2 linked regions of the Oryzias latipes genome follow. The protein of the gene in region 2 interacts with the protein of the main gene of each other region in a pairwise test. Links are inferred from orthologs where the notes say so. Each region holds a gene or a part of one and is shown on either strand. Other genes may lie near its edges.

Evidence for each region.
Region 1: the proteins of spdef (region 2) and homeobox protein Nkx-3.1-like interact in a two-hybrid assay, tested with the Homo sapiens proteins (2 studies listed by BioGRID). The link is inferred for Oryzias latipes from reciprocal best matches to the Homo sapiens genes SPDEF and NKX3-1.

The regions. Positions count from the first base shown.
Region 1 is NC_019867.2:16,767,448-16,770,632, reverse strand, and holds homeobox protein Nkx-3.1-like, read left to right. Parts: upstream 1-1,512; 5' UTR 1,513-1,587; coding exon 1,588-1,756; intron 1,757-1,933; coding exon 1,934-2,331; 3' UTR 2,332-2,524; downstream 2,525-3,185.
Region 2 is NC_019863.2:14,623,559-14,627,334, forward strand, and holds the end of spdef (SAM pointed domain-containing Ets transcription factor), read right to left. Parts: coding exon 3,717-3,776; intron 2,821-3,716; coding exon 2,642-2,820; 3' UTR 830-2,641; downstream 1-829. UniProt on the Homo sapiens protein: May function as an androgen-independent transactivator of the prostate-specific antigen (PSA) promoter. Binds to 5'-GGAT-3' DNA sequences. May play a role in the regulation of the prostate gland and/or prostate cancer development.

The sequences.
Region 1 (3,185 bases), on a different chromosome or scaffold from region 2:
CCGCATTGAGGGATGCTCAAAAAGAAGTTCGTTCAAACATGTTAGCACAGCTCACAGGTGCGACTCCTGCCTTCTCTCATGCCCTTATGGTGCTTACATGATTTTTTTCTAAGGAAAACAAGGAGTTTTACACAAAAAACAAAAACTACGTGGGGGTTTTTGTTTCAAAGATTTTAGATCAATCTTCATTTTATCCTTTAAAGCATTTGCTATGGTCAAAATTATTATGTGAAGAATTATGAAAGATGAAATGGAGTGTCTAGACGATGGGATTCTCAAGCAGACAAGTCAGAGCTAAATACATCACACTGCTCATCTTAACACTGTGTTGACAAGACAAATGTTGAAGCTAAAGCAGAATTTCAAGGAGTTAAGAGCAAATATTGAAGTGTTTTTTGAGGATCAACACGTAGACACCAGAAGGTATGTGGCGGGTCGTGTTTATCATACCTGCATTCAGACGTTTCCTGATGAAGCTTGAAATCCCAGAGCAACACGGATGTCTCTCACTTGGCGGAAAGAGGTCAAACCGCACGGCAGAGAACAACAAATAAGCAGCCAGCAAACAATGAGTGTGTCCATTCAGGAGCCGGCTGAAATGTGTCAAACTCATTAGTGCTCCAGGAGGTTTGACCACCCACCCTGACCCCTCTGCCCTGCTACTGCACAGACTTGTCTCCCTAGGCCACTTTGTTGCTACTCCGAGGTGATGGGGAGTCAGGATTAAGACATAAATCCATTTAACTGCTATGGCACCATGGACTTAAAGAATGTCTGGGGCAGAAAGTTTCATTCTGCTCAGAGAACTCAGTGTTCCACTGCAAAATGAAAGTCTATTTCAGTCTCTTTTCACATTTAACTTTGGCTTTTGTGATGAAATAATATTACATTCATGCAAACACTTAATTCTAAAATACATATTGTCAATATCTTATTACTGACGTATAGATTTAGACATTTTCCGAACCTCCAAGTAAGTGAGCAATAAAAATCTGTAAACCATGAAGCTTTATTTGCACAGGTTAAGTTGACAAACCAAGAAATAAAATAAAAAACAATTTTACAAAAAAAATGTGAAGATTTTTTTTTGTTTACTACTTCCAGAAACATAAATATTATTCTATTTAGAGCTATAAGGCTCATTAGACTGAAGTATGCTAATTGATTTTCAAAGTTAAAAACGTCACAATTTCTAAATCAAAAGCATTCTTTTGATTTGATAAGAGTTTACTTTGAAAAATAATTTTGATTTTTTTTAATGTAAAAAACTGGATGACTCTATCTGTTCTTTAAAAAAATGCTTTCGAAATCAGCCCCTTGTATTTGCATTGATTTTTTCAAAGACACATTGTGGAAGCGTGTAGGACAAAGCAGCCTTGAAAAAATACTCCTGAAGAACAATGTCAACAAAGTCAAAACAAGGTGATCTAGAAAGGCAGACCAACTTCTATTGGACGAGTGAGCCCGCCTCCTTCACTTCAGTCTGAATGAATCCACCCCCACACTTCTAAAACTTAAGAACTCCCAAGTGAGAAGGACAGACACACTGTCTGAGAAGCTCCAGGTTTCTGACACACTGGATGGAAAATGTCTTCCACGGTCAAACCTGTCACGTCTTTCCTCATCGAGGACATTCTGTCCAATAAAGGCAGCACAGGATTTAGTGGTAAATTCAGCTCTCTGAAGACAGACAGATGCTCTCAGCGGAAGGAGGATTTGGAACAAGTTCCTCCTCAGGAGTATGAAAAACAGACAGGTGAGTTTCTGTACGTTTGAGACACCACATGTGCGAATTTTTAACTGAAAGAAATGGAATTTGAAACGGATATTTACTGAGTTAACACACCTGCTTGTACTATGAGTTTGTAACAAATCACTGCAAGTAAAGTAAAAACAATTTTTCATTTGATTGCATCTGTTTTCTACATTGCAGAGTCTGTAGACCCATCCTGTTGCGGCTCCCCACAGCTGAATTTAAACTCCACGGGGAAACAGAAGCGCTCCCGAGCTGCGTTCACCCACCTCCAAGTGCTGGAGCTGGAGAAGAAATTTAACCACCAAAAATACTTGTCTGCCCCGGAGAGGGCTCACCTGGCCACCTCCTTAAGACTAACCGAGACGCAGGTGAAAATCTGGTTCCAGAACAGAAGATACAAAACCAAAAGAAAGCAGCAAACATCCGAGATGTGCAAGGATGCATACAAAGCAGACAGTTTGGGACTAAGAGAGGACTTGGTCAGATCATCACTGATTACCTCCTTCTATAAAGCTTATCAATACAAACCTTACCTTTGGGACTGCAGTGGCCCCTGGGCTCCGGCGTTATGGTGAAAATGCCTCATGATTTATTGTATTAAACAAGTTGCTGGAATTTTCTGTTTGACAAGGACTTCATATTTCTTCTCAGCTTTTGTGAATTGACCATAAAAATTCCTGAAATTGTAAACTCCTTGGACCTGACGTGGATTTACAAATCAGAGAACCCCATGACTTAATTAAGCTTCGTCTTAACAGTGCCCCCCCCCCCCCCCCCCCCCCCCCCCAAGAAATGTGTGTAAATCATTCTCAAATTACCACCATAAATTTTCTAACATTTTTTAATGGAACAATGAACCAAACCTACAAACAAGGCGAGCCTCCAAAATAAAACAAAATGTCAAAAGTCTCTTAAAGGGGGCAGCAACAACAGCAGAATGTGTGTGAAATCCTTTCAGTTTTGACATACTGGGGGCCTTTCTCTGAAAACATTTAAAGTATCTGCCGTTGAACTCTATGACTGCACCGAGATATGTGTGATGTTGTCAGTGAGGGCTAAAGAATGAGACTTGGCTCCTATAAAGAGCCACTGATCTGATTACAGGGAGATAGAGAGCTCTTCAGTTTTCTAGAGATGACATCATAAGGAGGGTAACTGTATAGAGTTGAAGTCAGTGTCTTATTTGAGACAGTTTTTTCTTTGTTTATTTGTTTATGATGTTTCACCTTGAAGATGAGATTCTCTCAGAGGAAAATGCTGTAAAAAAGAACAACAAATTTGTGTAAATTTACAAATAGAGTGACTGAAGAAATAAGAAAAAGAATTTCAAATTAAAAGTGCAAGCTTTCTCTTATTTGGCTGTTAAATGTAAAACCCGAGCTATCCACTGTTCGATCTTAGCCCAAATCGGTGACAAGCAGCTTTTTTT
Region 2 (3,776 bases):
AGCAAGGCAGGGGCCCGCCGCCCCCGCCCAGGAGGGGGACACCCCGGGGAAAAAGGGGGCCCACAAGGGATGTTGTAAACATGGCCCGACCAGGCTCAGCCACAGTTGGAAATTTGGCGGGGCACAGCGCCTAGGGGCAAGGACCAGAACCCACCCCCCAGGGACACGAACACCCCCGGCTCAGGTGTAATGTGAACCCCCCCCCGCACGGAGAGAGCACCACCGGGCCCAGGAAACCGGCACCCAAGGGACACGGCCGCCGTTGCCAAGGGCCCCGTACCCCCCACCAGGGAAGGGGCAGGGGACAGATGGTCATAGGTCCCATCTTCCTTGCAAAATGTGTGTGCGTGTGTTTGAGAAGATGCGTGTGTGCATATGTGTGTGTTTATTATTATTAAATGTTTTTTTTAAAACATTGAAACAAAAGAAAAAGTTACATTTTTACGCTCATGCATGAGCGTAAAAAGGGTGTGACCTTTTGACCTCTGACAAAGCCGAATTAAAAGGACATTTATTGAGCCTTTTCAATAGTGGCTTTTTAAGTATTTCCTGAATAGGGGACATTTTGCCACAGAACATTAATCAGTCACACACCTGAACAAAAACTTAGCTTGATGCCAATTTCTTTCAACAAACACTTAAAGATCAACTCCACAGTCAGTACACAGATATTACCACTAGAGGTCCCGAGCGACCAGCTTTTCTGGGACCATCTTCAATTTTAAAGGGGACTCCAAAAGACTTTCTGCCTGTTTGAAAACCTAATCTTTAATCCAGTAAAGTTCAATGATTTCTGCTCAGAAACAAATGTAGTCACAATGAGTCGTGATACAATTTGTGCAAAACCTCATTTGTTTATTGCTGTTTGTTTCTCAGCTATGCATACATTTACAGATGACAGTAGTTTCCATTGTTTCCTGCCTGGTCTGTCTTTTACTTTTTGCTTCCTTCTACACATTACAGGAAATACTTCAGCAATGGAAAAGAAAAGTGGCTTTACTGTGTACATTTTTGATCAGTTTTTGTTTGTCTTTCATTTATCTCACTGACAGCTGCTCAAACAGGTTATTAGTTACAGGTAGTCTTAAGAACTACTATATTTCTATCAAAGTAGCAGTTTTTTTTAAAATTTTGCAGCTGAAACTAAGAAAAAAAAGATCCGTTGACTGGAAACTAACTTTCCACTTCTGGTACTTGTTCACTTCAAATGACAACTGGCAAAGGTATCACATTTTAAAAACTGCCAGAGGGTCGAGCAAAAGCTTCCTTTAAAAATAAAGACTTAACTATAATGATGATAAAATAGTTTATTATACAATCACAATTTGAGTCCTGTGTGACTTTGACAGGAAGTATGATTGTTTAAATATTTCTGCAAAAAAAAAAAGTACAGAGTTGTGAGAAACCTAAAGAAAAAAAAAGGTCATTAATAAAACTCAACTTGAAGAACAACTGTTTTAGAAACTATTAAAAAAATGAATATGCACAGCAAATTATTTGCTTATTTGTGTTCTGCTTTTATTTTTTACATTACTTTTGTCTCTCTGAGGCTGAATGCTGTGCCGCAAAACAACGTCTGAATGCAAAAACATTTTTTTTTCTAAATTAAGGGAAATGTCTTGTGTTGCCGAACATAAAAACAATATGGGAACATATTTTATTAATATTGTTGCTTTTGTATTATTTTTAAAACATCATTAGTGTTGCATCAAACTAAAAAAAAAAAGAATACAGGATTTATTTAGAGTAGTTGTCACTTTACTGTTTATCTTATCACATTGGATCCTAAACTCTAACAATATGAAAGCAAAGGTTGCGTAAAGCTGCGTGGGCAGGAAACATTTTTTGTTTTCAGTTTTATTATAGAATTCACCACTTTTAAAAAGCAAAAATACAAGTTATCACCACAGAGGGGTTTGATGATATCAGTGTCGTCTTTTGAACTTTTGTGATGAGAAACATAGTAAAGAAGGAGCTGCATCCTGCAGCTTGGGACGTTCAAGGACACGGCGTTCATCTGTTGACGGTGAAAATGCATGACGTAAAACAAAAGCTGCAGATGGGGGAGGGGTTTGCGTTGAGCTTCATCAGAAAAGCGTTGTTGTTTTTTTTAGTCTGAGTCACGTGAAAAGATAAACAGTCAGGTTAGGCAAACAATAAAGCAGTTTGTTTATTTGAATCTGTGAAACCCTTGTGCTATCCGAGGCACTTTAACGTTGGGAGTTGGGTCATCTAGACCCACTAGACAGTGCGCTGAACTTTTTTTCTTCAATGATTTGTGATCTTCACTGGTGTCCATGGATTACATGAAATCTTTCCACCTTTATCCACCTTTGTCATGGTAGGAATAACACCTCAATGTAAGGGTGGGGTCATCTAAGATAGCACAAGGGTTAATCTCTATGCATTCATTGGGTTCTGCAGCAGGACCAGCAGGACGTGTGCTGCTCACGGCGCCCACACAGAACAGCCTCCTCGCTGCTGCAGCAGCCAGCCGCTTCTAAAGCACTGACTGTGGCGTTGAGGACAGTCAGTGCACATCTCTTCCCACCTTTCATTTTAGGGGTTAATGAATCAAGTGAGAGTCTATGGTCTAAAGCATTTTTCCACCTCCACCTGCTCCTCCTCCGTCTGTCATCCCTCATACTGGGTGAACAAACTGGTACACCAGTCTCTGGGACACATCAGGCTTCCTGATGATGCCCTTCTTGTAGTACTGACGAATGGAGCGGCTCAGCTTGTCATAGTTCATGGCGGGTCGGTTCTTCCTGAGCCCCCACAGTCTGGCCACATGAGCTGAGTCTTCGATTTTAAAAATACCTGACCAGACACAAAACAAGACATCAAATAGACGTCAAACACGCACGGACAAAAATGGCTTTTAAAGTTCATTTTTGGTTTTAACAATTCTGTAAAAATGTTTTATATAGTCTATAAAATCTGTTTTTATTGTGAACCTTAATCTACTTGTTAATTTACACTAGCAAAAAAACATTAGTGAAGTTTGCAGCTGAGTTGGAGTTTGAAAAAAGAAACTAATTTCATAAAAGCATCTAACAAAATCATAAATTAGAAGGGCCATATATGAGTCTAGATACTCTGATTATGTGGATTACCATGCTGTACTAGTAATGCAAACAGAATCTGAGAAAAAAATGAAAACAAATGAGGTCCAGATGATAGTAGATTTATTATCTACAACACAGAAAGTTTCTGTGAAGGCTGGAACTGTAAAGTTAAAAAAAAAACGTCGAAACATCTCCAGTAACCAGGAGTTCTGGACCTCCTGATGAAGCAGCCAGTCTTACGAAATTGACACAAAGGTATCTGAAAAAAGTCTTTAGCGGGATTTTGGACAGGCTCTAGTGGAATAAACCAAATCACTTTCAGGGATGTCAAACCCCAGTCAATATTTTAGCCATAAGAAGCAACAATGGCAAATAAGTTGGAAAACATGTAAGACATCAGCCTTCGAGGCCTGGAGTTTAACACCAGTCCCTTAACCTAAACTTATTTTGTTACATTATATTTTGTTGTATCTTTGGCTAATGTTAAACTACACATGTAAAGTTCTCTTTTTATTTTAAAGTTCTTAAACTCAACAGTTTTTCACTCAGTGTTTACCTTTCTTCGTTGAAAACTGTCCAAAAAAGACAAAATAGGCAACAACAACAACAAAATCTCACATTTGAACTGCTATGGTAACTCCTCTGTACCTTTTTCTTTGTTGAGCCAGCGGATGCAGCGTCCATAGTTGTGCGGTTTGAGCAGGAGCT